Linked DNA regions of Astyanax mexicanus. The protein of the gene in region 2 interacts with the protein of the main gene of each other region in a biochemical or structural test. Links are inferred from orthologs where the notes say so. Each region holds a gene or a part of one and is shown on either strand. Other genes may lie near its edges.

Region 1 (7,779 bases), on a different chromosome or scaffold from region 2:
AGCTAGTGCAGACAGAGCTGCACAGGCATGTCCCGCTGCTGCAAGAAAAGATGTCACAAAGTAGAGCTTACTACACTCCATACCTGTCACACTTACTTATAATTCATTGGACATGCATACTTATGAATTTGGCTGGAGAAGGAGGTGTTTTCTTCAAAGACTGATAACAGGTGCCAAAAAATTCCAGTAGTGGTGCTAAAATTAGCAATGGCAGGATACTGATCACATTCATAGCTGCTATAGGAAGGAGGAAACCATTGAAGTTCAGATTTGAATGCATGGTCTGGAGGTAGTATCCTGATGGAATCTGTGAAGATGCAAATTATGTTATTGGTTATACAACTGTGGAATGGACATCTGCGCTCAGAGATAATACCTAAACAGAGATAATATGAATTATAATAATAATAATAATAATAATAATAATAATTGAAGATTAAATGTTCATCATTACATTATGTATAAGATCAGTTTATGTACAAGTGGTGGAAACGATATGTCTGAATGTTTGTGGACACCCCTTCTGCAGCTATTGCTGACACAAATGTACAAATGGACATATATAAACTGCTTGTCTAGTCCCTGAGTGCTACCAATAGTATAGGAATTTTTCCAAAGCAGCTAAATGTGAATCTATTGGCACTATGCCTAATGCCAGTAGTGGACTGGAGGGGTATAAGTGCAATCAAATCCTCACAGCAATGCTCCAAAATCTAATAGATTTCCCTGGACAGGAGCAGGGGTTTTAGTACTTTTGTCCACTTATTTTGTATTTTATAGGTGCAATTATAGGAAGTTTAGGTCAAATCGTACAAACACCTTTTTATTGTGTAACAAACATTAACAGAAAATTTTGTTTCGCATATATACTTACTTGGGTTATACAAGCCCGGTAGAGCAGCTGCAGTCCAAAAAGAGGAAAAAGCTTAACCAGGATCTTAACATTTTCAACACTGGTCTCACTGTAGCGTCCTCCATTGTTCTCCTTGGCACGGTCCAGCCAATTATTCACGTCTCCACTCAAATGACGATAATGGAGGCAGGACATTTTTAAGGAGTTTAGGAACACACCCAGTGTGGTCAGCAACAAACTGGCTGTGTGTTTTCCCACACATGAAAGGTCAATGGAATGAAGGAAGAGAAGAAGACACAATGATCAAATACTGTTATGTGAAATTCAGTGTCATCTATATATAGAGGGTACACATATGATATCACAGTTGGGGAGAGTCTGTGTGATTATGCCCAGTGGCAGTATACTGAGTGGCAGCATTAGCGTTCATTGTAAATGCTGTGAAGACACAAAATGGGAAAGAGCCCTTGTGTGATTAAATATAAAAACTTGTTGAAATCAATGTACATAACAATGTAAGGAAACCTAATTTCTAGTTTCTAATTGGTCTGTTGCTCTAGAGCCCAACGGCCTTCAATTTAAACACATGACCACTTGTTTCATAGCTGGTTTGGCTGTTTCAGTCTGACCAAACGACATGTTCTGGCAGAAACAGGACTCCAATGAATACCATCTATTGCATATAATTTATTGCAGAAGTTTTGATCTATGCAGAATTATATAAACAGCACATTTATTTTATTTGTGTATATTTGTATATCTGTTTATCTGTATGTGTTTGTTAGTCCATTACCTTTCTTTGGATGAAAGATGAGATTGTTGCGTGCCATGTGTATCGCAACAAGAGCCAATAGAACAGAGGTGAAGGGAATGAGAAAGCCCAGGTTTTTACCCACAGACTGCTGAATATAGGAGATCCCCAGGAACACAACTGTAGAATTGAGATTCACAAGCCAGTAGAGCCTGTGGTTATAAATACCATCAGTTTTACATCAATAGCATAACCTTCCAGAGATGTACAAGCATTTTGATTTGCTCTTAATTATCTATAGTTAATGATTTAATGTCTTACCAATTAAAAAAGGACAGTATCTGGTGTTGGTCATAACCCTGAAGGTAATAGGCACTTAACGGGCATAGAATAGCACGGAAGCCCCCAATACCCAGGGCAGCGGCTAGCAGCCCAACGTAGAAGAGAAGCTGTTGCTCTCGTGGCTCTAGTCGGTGAATAATATTGTGTGTGTCAATGTAGAAATCCTCAAAGGGGAATGCAACAACAGGGAGCATGGCAGTACCTATGGACAGAAAATCAGGACTTAATGTAATGTGAATTGTTATTCATTCAAGGCTTGTAAGACAGTGTTGGACTCTTGGAATATATTGACATACAGGAGTCTACATGCCTTCAGCAAATCCCATGCTGTGGTATCTGATATACCACTCCAAACATGTTCTCCATCGTGACCATATAACATCTGATTCATGTAACAACATTTACCACAACCGTGTGCATTGTACAGACCTTAAAAATGCTGATACAATCTGCATTTTAACAAACACACATTAAACAAATTATTAAAACACATTTTAATCAACACATACATGAATCACATTGTAAGTTTTTTCTACATATTTTAGTCATACATTTTTTTGCATTGTTTCTTAATAACAACAGTGTCAACTTACCTATAAAATGGAGCAGAGCGCAAAGATAGAGTACTTTTGTCCTCCCCAAACACGTCTCTGCAAACCAGCCCACAAGAACAGGTGTGAGTGTACTGGCTCCAACAAAACACAGGTTGACTGTGGCAGCTTGGTAATTGTGATATCCCAGCTTGATGGTGCAAAAGAGGATCATATTGCAAACAATCCCAAAGAAGGTGAACCTCTCGAACAATTCCACAAAAAGAATACAGATAATCACCTGCAGCTTCTTTCTGGACTTTCGAGGCTTATATGGGGTGACCATCCCACTCGGGCGTCGAGCGGTCGAGACCCTTTGCAGTTGACGGCCACCATGGAGGCCAGGAACACTGAGAGACGCCATGCTGCTTCTTCAGGTCCTCCTGTGTGAAGTGCTGCTTGAGCACTGCAGTATCTTCTCTATCCAATCTGGGAAACAACAAAGCAATTCCTCACAGGACTGTGAAGTCTTATTTGCCAGCATCTACACGTGCAGAAGCTCATGCTGATCTTCTCCTGTGACTTCTGAGTAATGTTTGTTCACCTGTTCTCCTCACTAGAGTATGAACTGACTGCTGCTGCTGGTTTCTGAGTCAGCTTATTAGGGTGGTGGACATGATGCCAGTGTGGTGACACAAGCCTTTATACATGAAAGTGATGTCAGGAGTGTGTGAGATATTTTTGTAATGAGTTTCTAAGTGGATCTAGGTTATCATTTATTAGTCTGTTAATATTAGTACCCTCCCCCCGGTGAGGAGAAGTGGGCCTTAGGAGAGGTGGGAATTGTGAAATGTGTGTAAGTGACTTAGCTTATTATTATTTTGTGATTGTCTTGAATGCTTGAGTACTGACATAAAATGGTCTGTTGACAGCATTTGACTTTGGGACTTCAAGCAAGGATATCATTGCTGTCAAACAAAAAACAAATCAAGTAGCAGCTTTACAGGAGAAGGAAATACCTTCTTGATTTTCAGTGGAAGTCAGCATTCATTTTGAATGCTATAGTTTAGAAGATTTTTAGACACAATGATATGTTAACTACGGTGGCCGAGAAAGCCCAACGCAGTGCAAATGGAAAAGCGCTGCAAAAGCACAAAACACATCCATCAAAATTACAACACAGGCGCAGCAAATAGACAAACGCGCTGCAACTAGAAAAACGCGCTGCAAATAGAACCACAACACAACGGAAGTGAGTCACAACACAACGGAATTTTCCCGGGGGACCTTAAAAGATACTGTACCAGCTAAGCTGCGTCTTCAGTAACGTCTCGGACTTCACTATGTGTACAAAGGACAATAAGTGGCAAACAAGGCGTTTTGTGAAGCAGAACTTTTAATAATATGCACACAACCGTGGTAATCACAGGTAATAAACATAACTTACTTTTCAGAAGCTTGTTTGCCACTTATTGTCCTTTGTATACAGCTGGTACAGCATCTTTTAAGGTCCCCCGGGAAAATTCCGTTGTGTTGTGACTCACTTCCGTTGTGTTGTGGTTCTATTTGCAGCGCGTTTTTCTTTTTGCAGCGCGTTTTTCTATTTGCTGCGCCTGTGTTGTAATTTTGATGGATGTGTTTTGTGCTTTTGCAGCGCTTTTCAATTTGCACTGCGCTGGGCTTTCTCGGCCACCGTAGTTAACACAATATAAAGGACAATTGCCCAGATTCAAAAGTTCAAAACTTTTAATGCACAATATATTTAATTTGTAAATAGTTCAGGAGAAACAGACTGGTTTCATAAGCATGCATTAAAGTAGTCCGTGCTTTCATTCAAGTTTTAATGATCAGAGATTCCTACAGCATGTCACAGACTAGTGTGAAAATCTACGCTCTGTACAAAGGCTCCAGAGAGTGTTTTGCTTAGAGAGGATTCAGGGGATACACTACTGCATACAGACAAAATACTGTATAAAAGTCCAGATGTGTTGTTTAATTTTGGAAACACAGAACTCTAATTACTCTAAATATGGTTTTGATTCTTTTGACAACATGCTTGTCCAAGAACGACATTTTTTTGTTACTGGCAAATAGTGTGCCACAACCTTCCCGTAATAGACCTTTCTCATAGTCACTGTAGCAGGTTTTCTGTCAACAAAATGTGTATATATCTGTAATAATGAAACTATTATTTAAGTACATTTAATATATTTAATATATTTAAAAACTTTAAATATGGTCATCTTTTTACACTTTGACATTCTAACAGTCATTCATTAAGACTAGGAGTGCTCACATCCAAGTTTTATCTTAGTCATGCTGAGGTAAATTACCCAACAACATTAAGTGTAAAGGCAGCTGCTTTCAGATAATGGAGTGTATCAGAGTCTGACCCATAAAAAATACATACTAAATACAATGCTGAGATGTCTGTCTTGTTTAAGGACTTTAAACAGACTTTCTGGAAAAATTGTCAGTATGACACAGATGGGAGAGTAGGATAAAAAGAGCCACTGGATAAGTTGAAACACCACCTGTATCTGGGACACTGTAGGTCATTTTAATCATGTAAACTCACATTTACTTAGATTTGTCTTGACCCCAGGCTGAGCTAAAAAGAACACTTTCATTGTGCCCCATATTTTGTTGTCTAATTGAGTTTTATTTGGGGTTTTAATGTTTAATACCTCACATTCTGAACTTGTGTTGCAATTATTGAATTGCTTTTCTCTTAGTTATTGTCTAATTAACTAAATGGTCCTTTTCATACCTCACTCTACCCTACATCAATGAATCGATGTTGATCTTCAGGTTAATCACCAGTATGAATAAATATGTCCCATCGCTCAGCCCTGCATTAAACCTGGTTTAGTTTAACTCTCATAACATGTTGCCTCGTGAAAAATGACACATGAGGATTTCCTGGTGTAGTTAAACATTTTAAACTTGAGTTATTGATGTGTTTACAACACGATCAGACACAAAGCTGTTGAACTCCACTATTTGTGCTTCCACATTAATGAATGTGGAAATCTGAGAACGGTCTATTAGGAAACTTTAGAATTTGTTAACAATGATCACAATTCTGTTGTAATTGGCCGTGTAAACTAAATGTACAGTAGTTAGGTATTCATGCTTGCACATGTTCAATATTATTTCATTTAATTGCCCCAGTTTTTCAGAGAGATTGAAATAATTTGTCATTTCATGGAAGGAAGAAATGGCCTTTTGAAGTTGAGGTTCTTTGTTTGTGCTTGTTGGCCTATTGCCATTTGGCATCACACACTCACTGTTCTGGTTGGTTGCGGTGTGCTGGACTTGAATATTTCTGCCTGAGCTCACCAATTATGAGCAGAGAAAGGGCCACACTGGTGGTGCTGACTGGGCGTGAATGGGGCTCTAAGCTAGCGGAGCTACGTTGAAAAGAGAAAGGAAACCGGCAAGACTGAAAGAATACCAGCTCTGTGTGGTGCATCAGTGAATGAGCCTGCAGTTTGGTCTCCATGGATCCCATCCTGCGTTTCATCGTTTCATCCTGGAACGCTTGATGAATGATGAAATCATTTTTCAGGAGATTTCCAGGAGTGTCTTTTTTATTGTTTAATTGGTCACACCAGGGGAATAGTTAATTTGACAAAGTAAAGACACATGACATCACAGAAATCCATACTGACATGTTACATTAAAAGTATTTGCCTCAATAACCTGGCTTTGTTTAGTGCTTGTCAGTGCCTCTGAGGTGCAGTTGCTTTAGTTTACCAGTAGGAGGCACTGTTTGAGTTGGCATGGATAAGACGTGTACAGTACCAGCATGTGTGCAATAGAGAAATGGTCAAATCCACATAGCTGTAATGAACTTTATATACATCAAGAGTGTTAAAAAGGATTTTATTTTTGCTTTTGTTAAAGTAACTGTCTCTACTGCTTAAAGAAAGTTTTTACTCAGTTTTAGAACATTGCTTTGAGAATCTGATTTGGTCACATCAAGTTAAAAGAGCATTAGTGGGGAGGTCTGGATTTTGATTGAGATGAAAATGCATACCAAACATTAAAGTTAATCCTATTATCGTGAGGATTCCCAGAACTGCGAACGCAGGTAGTGCGCAGTTTTGTTCCGTTCTCACAATATGCTTTTCTGTCTCCTGGTGCAACTACTTAAAAAAGCATGCGCTTAACAGTGATGCCTAATCCTGTTATTATGATGGTTTTAGGTCCCCAAGCACTGCAAGTTCCAACTCTTTAGATAATTTTTTAAATAACCTGCTTGACTGAAGACAGGTGTGGTCTCCTCAGGAACTGTTATTGATACCTGTAATCTGTGTGTATACTAATACTTTATAGAGCACATATATTGCTCAAGGTCTTTGTACAGGTCCAATCAGAACTTTTTGTTCAAATCAAATTATGGACCAGCATCACTACGCTGTTTGACTATGTTTTTTCTTTGAGTTTGATGATTTAGTTGGTCTATAAACATGACTAACATGAAGAAGCTGGTCCACCAGCCTGACCAGCATGACCAGGGTACCAAAGCATGACCAAAATCAAATACAGCACAAACTGTGCTGGTTAGAATTTCGTTAACCAGCTAGCTTACCAGCAAAGTATGTTTTTACCTTAATAACCCTCTTTTCCAAAAACATGACTATCAAGGTCCAGCTTAGACCATTAAAAACCAGCTAAAAATCAGCTAAAGTTCGTCTTGAACTAAAATTTTTAAATAAAAAAATATTTTCTCAAAACACTGCAAATAAAAAAATTAAAAGAAAAAAAAAGTAACAGCTGCCCTTTTCTATTATGTAAATATGTGTACTATTAAAGAACTGCTAGATCCAGTCCTAAATGCTTCTATAACTAAAATCATAGCCCACTAAATGCTAATTTAACCAGATTGTAATTTTAAGCATAAGCTTTAGTAAATGTAAGTACTTGCAGAATAGCTAATGAACATTTCCTGTGTTTACGACTGTGTAATCATGTAGTTTGTATATGGAAGTCTTTTATGTCCTTGGCTTGTGCCCTGCAGCTGTGCATCTTTGTGGGTCTACATGTAGAGTTTGTTGTTGCAGAGTGCCAGGAGTCGTGTTTAGAATAGCCTGTCAGCTCTAATGAATTCGACAGTCTACAGGTGTGCTTCTTGAGCTGCAGCCATTACTGATCTGCAAAAGATTCAAGTGTGAAAGTGCACAGCCTTAGCTGTTTTAAATCGTTTTTGCTTGTTTTGAAGATTCGGGTCTAGACTACTTTAATCACATCATGCTGTTTGTATCTTAGGGAACAGAGACCCTCAGTGCTCCACAAGT
Region 2 (8,196 bases):
ACCTCTCGTTACCCTTCATCACATTCTGTAAATCTAAAGTTAATATAAAACTACTCCAATTTAAAAGCTTGTTTATAGTTTGATATTAACTTTATACCTGGCTGTGTTCCAGGTTGTCAACATAAGTGCCGTTGACTCTGACGATGCGATCTCCATCCTTCAGCCCTGCCAGCTCTGCAGGACCACCCATCTCCAGGGCCCGGATCAGATGACCATCCTCACCCTGTTCAATCCTCAGGAAGAAGCCATAGCTTTGACCCTCACGCTTATTGAGAGAGATCACTCGAGGTTTGGGCACAGACATGTTTCCTAATGGAGAAAAAGTATATAGTTAAAATAGAAATTAAACTAAATTTAACTAATAATTCTGATAAATTGGTGGGAAAAAAATTATGTTAAAAATATAAAATGTAAAAAAAAATCTGCATAACTAGATGATTTAGACAATACTGGAGAAACTTACTGAGTCAGACGTCTTTTAGATGGTGGTGAAAAGAACCAGGGGTTGTGAGCCCTAAAACACAAAAATTACCTTTTTAATTGTCACCAGTACACCTGCACTTCTTTTTTTTATTTTTATTTATTATATATTTATACCGTAAATTTCATGTTAATAAAATTAACATGTATGCCTATTAAAAATTGCTAAGAAAAATTGCTAAAAAGGCCAAAAGTTTTAAAACTGTTCTAAAACAATGTCTCTGTTTTGTTTTTGTTTTTTTTTTCACAACATTTCTGTAACCATTTTTGTCTAATTTGAATTGTTTACAGTGATGGTCATGAGAAAAAAAGACATTCTCTAAAAAGCTATTAATAAATCCAACTAGTGTAAAATAGTTTTTTTGGGCATTAATTAGATTCATTAACAGCTTTTTAGAGAATGTTTTTTTTCTGACCATCACTGTAAATAATTCAAATTATCTTTCAAAGTATTTTTTCTCGTAATTCACAATTTTAATTTCACATGATTTTTCACACAGATATCTAACTGATTTTACCTTTATATAAATAATTACATGAAAAAGTGTAAAAACTATAAAAAAAAGTGCCAGACCTTCCCTTTAAGTCCTCCAGCAAGTGATTGCACACCTTTTCGGTGCCCTTTTACAGTTTATATCTAATCTTAATGATAACCAGCATTATCATTCCATACCTGCCAAATTGTTTTACAACACAAGCTGCTATAAAAGTGTAAGTTTATCAGCGGGGTGTGGTGAATGGTGTTCTTACATCACCATTTAAATCTCTTTAACGTAACACTGCGGAAAAGTATAGATTCATAAATAAACATTCACAATAATGAAAGAATGGACTTCATTATTTTATTATTATTAATTTGTATCTTTATATATTATAATTATGCATTCATGCAATGTCCAAAAACATACAAATAAAAATCCTAAGAAAAGATACTGTCAAGGTGCAGCATATAATTTAAGGTTTAATTTTTTTATACTTTAAAAGAATGCTTACATTCTTATAACCCTCCCATAACTTATAACCTGACTGTATTAAATAAAGGGAAATAAAGAAAAACACCTAGACTTAATGCAGAGAAATAAAACTGCAAAGAAATATAGATAATATATTTATTCTCCAACCAAAGTCACTAAAGATTAAATGTACTTTAAATGTACTTTGGATTATGTGACATTATTATAATATCCATAAATTACTCAACCAGTCACTTTACAACCACTAAAATCAGTGGAATATCGTACTAAATTAGGCCCACATTACTGATAGTACAATTTATAGCAATTACAGTAAAAACATGGACAGGTGGACCAGACAGGCTTGTATACGTAACGTATATACAGTGATATACAGTTAAATATAATTTTTGATGAATCTCTTCCTGAGGCTGTACAGAGATAACTGTGAGTAATTTGAGATGTGCAAATCATAGCAATTATCCAGAGCCATAAAATCCCTATCCAGACTGAAGACATGCAGGTTTAATAAGAAGATAATATGCTGACATTCACAGAATGTACTCTTGCTCTCGGATCGTTAATTGTTAAACTGGAGGTGCGATGGTAAAGTGCGTTCTTTGCTGGAGCGAATGCACTTTGCCTCCGCAATAAAAAAAATGTCAATAGCCATTTTTACCAAGCGTGAAGAAAGAGAGAAGAGGCATGTGTGAAATGTCATCTAGATTTTTATATTATAACTGTCACAAAAATTTTACATTTTCAGAATACTTCGATCAAAATACATTGTTTTCTTGAAGAATGACAAAATATTTAATATAGTTTATTACACTAAGCTATAATACAAGAAATATGAATTTAGCACTGGACATATCAATGCTGTCCAATAAAAAAACATGCATTTCCAAAAAAGCAACTTTAAGGGAAAGAGAGATCCCAAAACCTTAACTTTCAATGGAAATAAAAAAAAAAGTTTATTTCAGGTAATGTTGCAGAATTTCTTTCAGGATCTTTATCAAAAAATTGATGCATTTTAAGGAAAAGTTCGGTTTTCAAATTCTGTATAACCTAAAAATCAACAAAAATGGAGATACTTGTTTTTCATTTAACACTAATGATATGCCCTATGCATTATCATCATTTTAAAATCCATCAGAGATTACGTAATACCTCACCCATAACTAACCAACGTTACTATAGCTCTCGATCAGTTATGATATTTTCAGATTGCATGGTGATGTATTCTATAATCATAGCAATTTATGATTATAGAGCCTATAATTCGATTTGTTTTCTAATTAATAAAAATCCAATACAAAAAAATTATTTGATACTGACCTCTGAACATATTTGCCTGATTGCTAGATGCAGCTTTCATTAATTACAGCAATTCTACAGATACCAGCTTTGACTGTGTATAAACTATATGTATTTTTTGGAGCTTAATATGATCAGGACAATAATATAAAAGGGGGGAATTATTCACAGCATACTAAAATTTAAAGTCAGCAATTAGAACAAATAGAGCATGATAATGATATCGAGATTGAAAATTAAAAACTGAAATAACAAACTGATGCACTTTTGAAGGTATCACAGTTATAGATTCTAATAATTCTCTGCAGGTCAGGTAGATGCTACTCACCTGTTCAGGTCCTGTGGAAGTCCGTACTGAAAGGAGGTTCTTGCCTCTTCTTACAGATGTTATCTATCTATCTGTGTGTAAGTCTGTACCGGACTTTGACAGGCCAAAGGTTTACTTAAAGAGTGAGTTATTTAACCACATCTCGTGGCTGAACGCCTCTTCCCACTGTTGCTGTGAATAATCCTGATCAACCCTGTAAACTGCAGCAATCATAAACTTTAGGAAGGATTTGAGTTAGGATGAGAGTCTATGGAGGCTGAGGGCAGAAGTGACACGGTACTATTTCTAATTCTGTTCATTTAAATGAACTATTCAAGTGCTTTAAATGTTCTGAACTGAAGTGAGAAACAAAAAATGTCTGCCATTGACCTGTCATCAAGTATCAACGAGTAATCCAGCTCAGAAAAATAGCAATTTATTTGCGTCATCAAAAACGCTGGTGTTTGTTATAAATTATTCAGTCTTTTCACTTATTCATCTGAAAAACAAAGGCACTTTTCAGCAGAATAATTTGGGCTGCAGAATTTTCATGTGTATTACATTACAGGATTACATGTTTCTTCACAAATCAACAGAATTAAAAACAGTTTATCCTGCTCAAATACACACAATTTAACATTCAAATTTTGCGTTTAAATAAATTTTATTTTAAACCAGTTAGAATTAATAAAATCTTATTATTCTCTTTTTACATTTCAGATTTTTTACATTCTCTTTTAAGATAACAGAGGCATTTTTATTGTTGGATAGTTGATTTATTTAATTAATTCTCTGCTCACAAATACCTATCATATTTCATATCAAGCTTTTTATTTTTTAACACAAAGTATGAAGAACTAATTGGCCAGAACAGAAGCAGAATGCTGTGCTGAACCTTCAGGCTGAACCTTTTAAACATCATGCTTTTGATCTTTTGGTCCTCTCAAACCCACAGATCCTTAAATTAGCAGACAAGCTGTGGTTTAATCCTGATATCATGCTGAGAACAGCTCAGCTAACGTTTCTCTCGGTGGGAATAATGTTCCAACATTCAAGGATGAGATTTAACACTATGTGTCTACAGTCTTTCTTTTGCAGAGTAAACACAGACCACAAACTGCTCAATGTGGATCTGAAGGCAAAGTTTTCGACTGGTCTTTGTGCTGAAAGAGACGCAGACTGGGATCTTGTTCTAAGGTGCATTTCATCATTTAAAAACAGCTGTTTTGTATTTACTCAGGTTATACTTCTCTGATATTAAAGTTTGTTTGATAATCGGAATAATGTAAGTATGATAAAAAAAAAAAGCAAAAACAAGAAGAAAGCAGTAAAGATTGAACTGGTCTTTGGGCTGAAAGAGGAGCAGACTGGGATCTTGTTCTAAGGTGCATTTCATCATTTAAAAACAGCTTTTTTATATTTACTCAGGTTTATTTCTCTGATATTAAATTTGATTGATAATCGGAATAATGTAAGTATGAAAAAAGCAAAAAAATAAGAAAGCAGTAAAGATTGAACTGTTTTTTTTGCTGCAAGAGAAGCAGACTGGGATCTTGTTTTAAGGTGTATTTCATAATTTAAAAACATCTTTTCTGTGTTTACTCAGGTTTATTTCTCTGATATTAAATTTGTTTGATAATCGTATTAATGTAAGTATAGTAAAAAAGCAAAAACATAATAAAAAAGTAAAGGGGTAAATATTTTTTCTTAGCTCCACAACTAGGGAGAGAAGACGATGACACAAGTCAGGAAACCCTCTCTCTCCAAGGCAAGCTTGAGAACATTGAGACACAAGTTTTGGTTCTGGAATAAAACAATTTATTTACAACTAAACCAGAGTGTTGACTGGGTTTTTTTATGCATCTCTACAGCAGAAAAACATAAACTGAAAATACTGAATAAACCTGCCTTTTTTTTTCAAATACACTAAACAAAAATATAAACACTTTTGCTTTTGCTCCCATTTTTCATAAGCTAAACTCAAAGGATCTAAGACTTTTCCTCTGTGCACAAAAGACCTTTATTTTCTCAAATTGTGACCACAATTGGGTCTAAATCTGTGTCTTCTTTGCTGAGATAAACCATCCTCCAGTCACAGGTGTGGCATATCAAGATGCTGATTAGACACAGGGATTATTACACAGGTGTAATAATCACTGTGCATCTTAATATGCCACACCTGTGATTGGTGGATGGTTTATCTCAGCAAAAGTGAGAGAAGTGCTCACTTATAACACAGATTTAGACCCAATTATGAGCAAAATTACAGCGTATTTTGTGTACAGAGGAAAAGTAGATATTTGAGTTCAACCAAAATGTTACATTTATATTTTTGTTCAGTGTATATTAATCTGCATTCACCAACACTCAACACACTTCAATACTGTTTAATACTGTCTAACCTTTAAATACAGCGTTGCCCTCAGTGAGAGACTTACTGACATCATAATACATTTTCAGTCTCAAATAATTGAAACTTCACATTTCAGAATCAATTGAACAGAGTGATCCACAAATTCTTATCCTTAGCAGCTCAGAGAGGTGCTTTACACACACACACACACACACACCGCACTCACTAAAGCAATAACATGCCTGAGTGGGCTGTCTTTTCAATACCCTTTAATTATTGAGCAGCAGCTGAATATGCTGCAGTAACCTTGAAGAGACTGCTGAACACCTTTATTCCAAAGAACTGAAAGGTATAAATGATACTAAGTGCTTAATTTATTATTTAATATCTTTTCTAGATTTGTAACCTTTAATTTAACTTAATATTGATGAAACTTACTTTAATACGCTGCTCATTTCTGATATTAAACACATTAAACACATTTAATGACCAATTTATGCAGAAATCCAAGTAATATTAAAGGGATTTATTCACTCATGAACTCCTCTAGTGTGGGCTAGAGGATTTATACTGCTGAGCCTGAGACCCTGAGGCCAAAAGGTCTTAATCTATTAAAATATAGAATTATTATTATTATTATTATTATTATTATTATTATTATTGTGGAGGCTCCACATTATGTTAAATCATATTTTCAGGAAAGCCAGCCGTGGCTGTTGTGTAAGGACTGCATCGTCTCTCAGTGTCCACTATAGGGAGCCAGTGATTTTCTCCTCAACTCAGAACATAACTTCCTACTTTTTTTAGAAGTAAGACCTGGAAAACCAACCTGTGCTAAATCTGACCCACATTAACTTATTTCATTTGGCCCACTTGACACATAATGCCAAGTATTGATGAGCCAGTTCTAATGAACGACCAAAATATGCCTAGAACTCAACCAGCATTAGCAGGACCATGGCCAGTATACGGTATTATATTATTATTAATAATAATAAAGTACCTAAAGGACATTCAACTATCTAGTCTATCTAGTACATACTTATCACCAAGTAATACATTATTTGTCTTTTTTTTTTTTTTACTACTGCAACTTATGAAGGGCTGACCATACAACGCAATTATTCAATAAATCTATCACTGAATTTAAAATATTGAAAAAAATACAGAAATTTTCACCACTTTTTTATGCTTACTTTATTTTTCCCAGAAATGTAAAAAAAACAGGGGTTGTAAATGGAATATGCAGAAATGTGTTCTCTGTAAGTACATTGGCAAAAAAAAACTTTGCGAACTCTTTGGAATTTCATGTTTTTTTTGCATAAATTTGTCATAAAATGTGATCTTACCTTGATCTCAGTCAAGAGTATTAAGAAATATAATGTGCCTCAAAACATATAAACATTTATTTCTTTATTAAGAACATCCATAAACATGTTATAGTGTTTGTGGAAAAATTATGTGAACCCTTGTGCTTATAACCATAAAATGCTAATGAGAAAGAACTGTGTTCAAAGTTTAGTAGATTTTAACACAGGCTCAGTTTTCAAACTTGGGGCATTTTTTTACACTGGGTTTTTTCCAAACCTGTGTGTGCTTTCTCCAGGGCTTTGGTAGAATTGGTCCAGAGTGAGCGCCCAAGTTTAGTAGTGGTTTCTGATTGGACAGCGATTACATTTCATTTAGGCACAGATTCTGCGCTGCTCCTAGACGAAATGCAATCCTGTGCATTGTGATTTTCTTACGAACAGTCACAGCGCCACACAGTGGAATAACATGCAGTTGAGCATTGTAAAAGTTTTGTGTGCAATTCTAAAACAATTCAGCATTTGGTTTTGAAAATGTAAATTCTTGTGTATTGTTTTAAGAACAGATTTTTTAATAAAGATCAGATGCAGTGAAGTGTAATGAAATAGTGGTTTTACATTTCAGTTTGGCATTTATTCTGTATGTTATACAGAATGCATTTTGCAGATTGTAGTTTTTCCACGATAGTGTTTGCTTTTTAATTTTGCACTAATATCTCTCCATACAAGAAAGATATGCATACATTTGCACATACATACTCATGCACACACTCGCATACTCACACACACCCTCGCACAATCATACACACACGCGCATTTACATACATGCACACACACACTCACATACTCACACACTCACACACACTCATGCACACCCTTGCATACTCGCACACTCACACACTCAAATGCTCATGCACATACTCACACACTTACACACACTCACATACTCATGCACACACTCGCATACTTGCTTACTCAAACACTCGTACACACATGCTCACACACACACACACTAACATACTCATGCACACACAGTCACATACTCACACACACAAACACACACACATGCACACTCGCATACTCACACTCATTCCTCAAGTCCCATCCTCACTGCTTCATCGTCTCTCTCAGAACCAACAGAGCGCTGATGACAGAAAAATAATCTCTCTCTCTTTTTCACTTTCTCTCTCTCACTCTCTATCTTTCACACTCTCTCTTACACAAACACACTCTCTTTCTTTCTCACACTCTCTCTGTTACACACACTCTTTATTTCTCTCCCTCTCTCTCTCTTTCTCTCCCCCTCTCTCTCTCATACACACGCATGCTCTTTCTCTCCCTCTTGCGCTCTCTCTCTCGTCCACACTCTCTCTTCCTCTCTCTCTCCCCCCCCCCCCCCCCCTCTCTCTCTACTTTATAACAGCTGTGCGCTACAGGGAAAAAAGGAATCAGCAGCAGAAGCACTAAACCGAACAGAGA
Region 3 (7,712 bases), on a different chromosome or scaffold from region 2:
ACTGGCACCCCAACCCAAGAAAATGCATAGTGGGTGGTGTGAAACATGGCATGTTAGGGCTTTTACTGGAAGGAGCAAGGCAGCATTTACTTACAACACAAAACATCTAACACTCTGACTCAAAGGTGTGACGGTGTTTAGGCCAGCTTAAGTAACAGGACCTTTGAAACCTCTGGAAGCTGCAACAGGAGCAGGGACAACACATCCTGTGGCTGTAAATAGGGTTGTGTTATGAAATAAAATTTCATGTTTAATGTTAACAGAGTCACTCTCTGTTCATCACTGAATGAAGGAGTACTGGGGGAAATTGGGGATAACTAACATTAAACAATAAAACAATAGAAGACTATGAGCCTGGCATCAAGCAATAAAACAATATCTTATCTCCACAGCAGCAAACTTATAATCTCATTCATTATGAGCATGCAAGGATGAGTAGGAGACACAAACTTCTCAAGCCGTTCTGCAAGTACATCAGCTGTGTCTTGTGATGCCGTTTGATACACATCTGTTGGCCTCAGTTTCTCCCTGAAACCCTTTCGCATAATAGGGTTTGTCCACCTGCAAAAGGTCAGAACAAATAAACGTCAGTCAAATTGTTTTTGGGTGTTTCGATGTCAGTGTGTCTATAAAGTGTCTATAAAAGTGATGCTACAAACCTGCAAAAGTGTTTAAAGTGTAACACTGCTTTTAGTAACACTGTAGCTAAGAGACACATGCAGTAATTAGCTGTTCAGTTCAGTGTTTTCCTTATATTGTTGTTGTTGTTGTGTTGATCTCCAAAACAGAAAAAACTCAAACATATCTTAACTATAACTTTCAGATACAAGATACAAGGTTCTTGCATAACAATGTATTTGACTGTTGTCACACAATTTCTATTTTTATTTTGTGGTGTTACTGGCATTTTTATATTTTAATTTTCTGAATTTTTTCTGAATTGGAACAAAACCTATTTACATGTAGTCTTCCACTAAAAAATCTTATTTTTCCTTCTCCTAAAGCTGCAATTTTGAAATGAATTTGTTCTTACATGGCTTCATTTGTTAAAACGTGGTAGATATAGGGGGTGTTCAAACAAATGCTTTTCTATGGCTAAATCTTAAAAAATATCAGTTTAAAAAAATACAAATGTGAGGTTTATTTCCAGCTAATGGTTACTTATATTATAGATCAATCTGTTGATTTATTGTTTGGTTTTTACACTCTAAAAATGGTTAGATGCATTTTTTCCAATACTGGTAATAAGCAAATGTACACAGTTTGATTATTTATTTTATACTCATTATATTGCTGCAAATGTACTCTTAAATCTAAATCTGCCAGGGATCAAATTTTATTTAAAAAAATCAAATTAAATATAATCAATATTTATTATAATAAAATTATAATACAATCGAATATCTAATCTTAAAATATTTTCTTTAGCTACATCTTAAGTAATTAACATTTTAGTAATTAACATATTATTATTATTATTTTAAACAGAGGCATAGTGTGGAATCTGTGGTTAGCTAAAGATGCTTTAAGTTATCTAGCGATTTATGTGAGCTAGCTAAATTAGTTACTATTTTCGTTTATTTTGTATTTTTAGAAAAGTATATTTTAAGCAAACACTGTTTGACTGAAGTAGCACTACTTTTATCTTAAGATATTGAGCTGAAAAGCGAGTCTGGAGAGTTGCTGAGGCTCTGTTCTGCTTTCTGTGAGTGGCTGAAGACTTTGATGCTTAATTTATTACTAAAATAGTTAAAATTTAGTTAAATAAAATATTTGTCATATATTTGATTGTCATTTTATTATAAATATATATACAGCTCTAGAAAAAAATAAGAGACCGCTTAAATAGTGAGTTTCTTTGATTTAAGCAAATTGAAAAGGAAAATGGATGATCACGATCCATCAAACCAAGCTGAACTGCTAGATTTTTTGCTCCAGGAGTGGCATTACGTTATCCAAAAGCAGTGTGTAAGACGAGTGGTGGAGGAGAACGTGCCAAGATGCATAAAAATTGTAATTAAAAATCAGGGTTATTCCACCAAATACTTTTTGCATTATTTGAGGTCTGAAAGCTCTGCATCTTTTTTATTTCAGCCAATTCTTATTTTCTGCAAATAAATTCTCTAAATGACAATTGTTTTATTTGGAATTTGGGGGAAACATTGTCCGTAGTTTATAGAATAAAACAACAATGTTCATGTTACGCAAACATGTACCTATGAATAGCAAAATAAGAGATTTTGAGGTGAAACTGAAGTGGTCTCTTTAATTTCTTCCAGAGCTTTATATCTATATAAACCCTATATGATACTGCGAGAGCAGCTATAGCCTCTTTCTCTCAGTATGTCTTCACTTCACCTTTTGTAAATGAGTTTATATTCAGTGCGTGGAATATTCTAGCAGCTCCTTACCAGAAGAAGTATCTGGAGAGGAAACTGGCCTCATCCACAGGTGACTTGTTCATGCTCGCCGAGCCCGGGCGCGGGAAGCAGCTCTCCGCTCACATCTGCTGTCCCTTCAATAGGGCTGCTGTCCTCCACACACACTCACACTCATACACTTAAGGGGTAAGGGGTTCTCCGTATTTCTCCCCGTTAAGAAACCCCCCCTTCCCCACACCGTCTCACAGCGCTGTCCGTGTACTTGGTGTGTGCGCGTGGACGTCGCGAGCCCCCCCGTGATCCGCGCGCGAGCAGCACCGCACTCTGTCCGCGCTGCACTGCGCGAGCTCCCCTGTGGGCACGCCGCTCTCGCGCGCTCTGCCTTTTAAACACAATCAGCTCACGTGCGGCGCGGCGAGGAGACACGATATCCAAACACACAAACAGGCGCGCGGAGGCGGAGGAGGAGATCTGCGCGAGACTCGGTCATTCAGAGCCCACAGTCACCACATATTCACACCACTGTACCTAACTCACACTCAGTGCAGGAAGCGCCCTGCACTCATTCCCCACATACAGACATCATCAACACCGACATTAACCGACACATGGATTTCCTTATACTGACTGACCGGTTTAGCTCTTTTCCAGTACAGGTCGTTTGAGTTTGGTGGTTTATCTATTAGCGTGATCAACCTGACCACGCTACAGTGGCTTGCAAAAGTATTTATACTCCTTTATTTTTTATATTTTGTCACCTTAAAACCAACGTATTTAATGTATTTTACTGAGATGTTAAATGAGAGAGCAACACAAAGTAGCACATAATTGTGAAGTGGGACAGAAATGCTAAAAAACAGCAAAAGCAAGCCGCCTGGCCTTTTTCCCCCTGCTTGACCTGAGCATGTACTTCAAACCAGCTGTTTGCTCTCCAATTGAGCAAAAGATGCTCCACATATAAACTGCTAACACATTTACTTCCTTAGTAAAGCTACGAGTCGTCTCTCAAATATGATATTTATTGTTGTTTGGGAAGAAGGCTACCTTTATACATGTATTAATGTGCGCATGTGAGGCGTTTCAGAAATAGATTCGTTCACATTACACACAAATACGGGTCAATTACATTTGTTACAATGAACCGCCAAATCCAATCTAAGCAAAAAATCGTATTTGAGCAATGTAGCTTGTAATGTGAACGTAGCTTTAATTATTTAATAACTGTGTGTAATCTTTTCTCAGTATAAATACACCTGTCCATCATTTAAAAATGGAGAAGTATACTACAACTGCAGTCCCACCAAGACATGGTCGTCCACCCAATCTGACAGATCAAGCAAGGAGAGCACTGGTCTGAGAAGCAGACAAAAAACCTGTAGTCACTCTGGAGGAGCTGCAGAAATCCACAGCTGAGCTGGGAGAATCTGTCAACAAGACAACTATAAGTCGTGTACTCCACAAATCTGGCCTTTACGGGAGAGTGGCAAGAAGAAAACTATTGTTGAAGGAAAGACATAAGAAGTGACGTTTGCAGTTGTGAAAAAGTGACAAAAATGATAAAAAGTTAAAGAGGTCTGAATATTTTTGCAAGCCACCATAGTTGACCAGCATTAACAACTTTCCTCGACAAAGGAGGAAGATAAGTCTGGCAAGTTGGTTGACCAGCAGGACCAACATGACCAATGTGGTTGACCTGCATGAAAAATGTGGTTGACTAGCATAATCAATATGATCAGCATTGACCAGCATGACCAGGTTGGCTGAGTAGAATGAAAAGCTTGTTGACAAATTTGATCAGCATAACGTGGTGGTCAAACCGCCTAAATAAGCTGATTGGCAACATGATCAGTGTGGTTGACCAGCTTGACCAGAATGGCTAAGGTGGTTGAATAGTCTTAGCCTTACCTGGTTGACCAAACTGCTTGACCAGCATTGCCACGGTGGTTGACTTGCATGACCACGATGGTTGACCAGTATGGCGAAAATGGTTGATCAAGCTTGTTGACCATCATGACCAGGTTAGTTGACCAATGGTTTTCAATGCTGGTGAACTATTGTATAACCAAAGTAGTTGACCAGCATGGCCAAGCTAGTTAAGTATGACTTGAATGAATAGCATGACCAGCCCAACCACACTGGTCAACCTAGCTGACCAGCTTGTCCATCAAACATAAACATTAATAACATTCTGTCCTTATAGTTGCACCTGTCAAGAGGTGGGAACAATAAAAAGTAAATAAGGATATCTCTATATCTCCTGACATAGTTTCCAATCGGAAGAAAAGGAAGAGTGCAACATGTCTCTCCTGCTGCTCAAACAGGACTCCTGCGATAAACACCTCAGTAATCTCACATATCTCCCATCAAGTGACAAAGGCAAAAGTTTCAAAATGAACTACAGCATTTCTTATTCAGGACTAAGGGCCTTTTAAACTTTGCCATTGTGAATTACTATTGTATTTCACTACTGTTTTTGAATTCACTCTGTATTTGAATACAATAGCTATAGTACAATATCTTTGATCTGGAAGCCAAGGTAATCAAACCACATAAACATTAAGAGAAAAAACAGTTAACGGTTGAAGGTAAATAAGAAAGAGGGTAAGCAGCAACAAGAAAAGGAAGAGGATAGGAAATTCTGGATAAATTCTGCTCATATGAATTTTTTACTACTCAAAACTAGTTCTGATAAACACAAAGGGAAACTAATTGCTGAAGCTATTGGTGCAGTAGTTATGCTGGGTGAGACTGACAGCCCACTACTAATGCCACATTTGTAATCACAACATTTGAACAATAAGTTTCGCCTTGGATTTCATATTAAACCACTATGAATGACTTTCAAGTTCACACCTCAACAAATTAACTAAACCTGGTGGAATTTCCCTTTAATGAATCATAGCGCAGCACAATAACAAATGAACAAAGGATTTACTGCAAAACTAGTGAGCAATACCTAAATAACTGAATCATTGACTCCCCCTATAGATTGAGACAACAGGAATGAAACAGTTGTATTTACAGTTTCAGTATAAGCAAGAACTGTTTTTTTCAGTATAAGCAGAAGTGAATATTGGCAGCACAAAATTCAATGCATGTTAACTTCTAAATGTAAATATACTTCTTTTAATTACTATAAAATGTTTTTTGTTCTCTTTTTTTAAAAATTAAAACACATATGAAAATACACCAGATCTGAGAAGAATGTCTGGTAAAGAATGTCTGTTTGGCTGACATTTACACTGACATGCCAAAAGGCATTACCACACATGGTGAACGGCGTTGTGGGTAGTAAGGATCGTGACTGGAAGCCAAAATTGTTTGTGCAAACAAACAAGAAACTGTCAGAAATCATGTCCCCATTCAACACAGGAGGCCCCAAGCAAGCATAATCTGCAGGTCAGTGAACCATTCTTTAGCTTCCATTAGACACAATACTAGTTTCTGTCCCATTACTTTTGGAATGTCAGTATTTTTTCTGGTAAACCATACCCTAACTGTACCATTTCTGCCATCGTCTAGCAGAGGAAGTATCAGTTACCCACTGCAGGAGGATCAGGAGTCAGACAAATATATATCATTTACCTGCAATTAACAGAATGCCTTGTCCTGTTTTGTCAAGATTTACCACCCTTAGGAACAGTTTATTAAAACCTAAGGGTAACTAAACCCACATTAAATAAGTAATGCAACACTGCCCCAACACTGACTTTTTTAAACATTTGTAATTATTTTACACAGCTCTAAATGCACTATTTATTGTATTGACTTACACACATTTTAAATCAAGAACAAAAGACTAAAATGTAGCATGTCCTTGTGAGCATAAAACCCCCAAAATTAAATAGGATGCATCCACCAGCTGAGAGGAAACTGGTTTGGATGGTCAGGAACAACACAAGAACCATCAAGGGACAGGCCTACCATGAACTGGAAGCTGCTGGAACACCTGTGTCACCCTATACAGTTAAGCAGATTTTACACATTACCATAAACTGAGAGGCTTCTATCCAAGACTCAGGCCCCTGCTTCAAAAACTGTAATGTTATGCTCAACTACATTGACAAGAAAAAATACTTCAAGCAGAAAGGTTTATTGTCAGATGACACAAGGAATGGCCACAGTGACCAAAATTATATTTGGAGAGTGAGGCATTCATCCCCAAGAACAATATATAAACTGTTAGGCATGGTGGTGAAACCATCATGTTCTGTGGTGGACTGCCCCTCCCTTCTTCAGCTTAAGCTCAAACCATCAGCAAGGCCTGTTCCATTAGGACAATGACACACCAGACATGGTTGTGTAATGAATAAAGCAGTCTAACTTTAGGCTTTTTAAATTTTGGAGACTTGAAGTCATGACCTCAGACCGAAATTATGAACTGTGCATTAGAGTGGTTACATATAGGCCAAGTCATTATGTTTATATGACATATTTCAATCATGCAGAACTGACATTAATGTATCGGTTATTATCGATATAACAATCCTTTCATGTCTGCAGCATATTTGTTTAAATTTCATAAAACACTGTGCAACGGACTGTTTAGGATTAACTTGTTTTGTTTCCTTGTTGCATGTTCAGTAATTAATAATATTAATTTCACTTAATATTTCTTCCTTTGTCTGTATATTTAGCTGAGGTAGAGCTTATGCAGTCCACCCTATTGTTGTAAAATATCACGGTAATTAGAAAATCAAAATGTATCTTCAAAACATAACAAGTTTACCATAAACAGTGAAGTGTGAAGTCTTATAAATATGTAAAAAAAACTAATAATAATAATAAAAAAATTACATCTTTGAGGGCCAAAAGGCACAAAATTCTGATAGCAAAAATGTGAGCCATCGTTATTAGAATTATCAGAGAAATGGTTTGGGAGTTTATGCTGTTTGTGTGCATGAGTTTGGGCATTTAGAGCAGTCTGAGTGAATCATTTCGACCTGCTCTCAGTTGCTGACATGCTCTAGATCTGTAATGAAATTACGGATGATAAATAAGCAGTCACATGAAAACAACTGACTGTTCTCACTCAGTTCCAACTATTTAAACGTACAGAACAACAATTTTGGTTCTTTTACATACAGAACCCTTCAATGAGTCCAGGTGTGATCATCACAGGCGTGCCCTCAGCACACCCTTCATGTCATCATAAACTGCTGGTGCAATAATTTCATAATTCATTTAACAGTGTATTGTTGGCACTGAGTAATTAGCAGGTAAGACCTTCAAAGAAGGAAATGCGTTCTGCAGAAGTCATCAACTTCGAACCAATTTAGTCTGGAAGATTGTAGATACCAGGAATGCTATAAGCCAGAGGTTCCCAGTTGC

The links.
Region 1: the proteins of pdzk1 (region 2) and slc15a5 interact in a test that uses a peptide from one of them, tested with the Homo sapiens proteins (2 studies listed by IntAct, with this or other methods). The link is inferred for Astyanax mexicanus from reciprocal best matches to the Homo sapiens genes PDZK1 and SLC15A5.
Region 3: the proteins of pdzk1 (region 2) and cftr form a complex in vitro, tested with the Homo sapiens proteins (2 studies listed by BioGRID and IntAct, with this or other methods). The link is inferred for Astyanax mexicanus from reciprocal best matches to the Homo sapiens genes PDZK1 and CFTR.

Annotation. Positions count from the first base shown.
Region 1 is NC_064409.1:54,428,834-54,436,612, forward strand, and holds the start of slc15a5 (solute carrier family 15 member 5), read right to left. Parts: upstream 3,079-7,779; 5' UTR 2,901-3,078; coding exon 2,540-2,900; intron 2,149-2,539; coding exon 1,926-2,148; intron 1,817-1,925; coding exon 1,647-1,816; intron 1,096-1,646; coding exon 875-1,095; intron 308-874; coding exon 121-307; intron 39-120; coding exon 1-38. UniProt on the Homo sapiens protein: Proton oligopeptide cotransporter.
Region 2 is NC_064418.1:9,927,089-9,935,284, reverse strand, and holds the start of pdzk1 (Na(+)/H(+) exchange regulatory cofactor NHE-RF3), read right to left. Parts: upstream 3,140-8,196; 5' UTR 3,079-3,139; intron 515-3,078; 5' UTR 464-514; intron 310-463; 5' UTR 305-309; coding exon 98-304; intron 1-97. UniProt on the Homo sapiens protein: A scaffold protein that connects plasma membrane proteins and regulatory components, regulating their surface expression in epithelial cells apical domains.
Region 3 is NC_064416.1:24,819,638-24,827,349, reverse strand, and holds the start of cftr (cystic fibrosis transmembrane conductance regulator), read right to left. Parts: upstream 3,079-7,712; 5' UTR 2,465-3,078; coding exon 2,412-2,464; intron 562-2,411; coding exon 451-561; intron 1-450. UniProt on the Homo sapiens protein: Epithelial ion channel that plays an important role in the regulation of epithelial ion and water transport and fluid homeostasis. Mediates the transport of chloride ions across the cell membrane.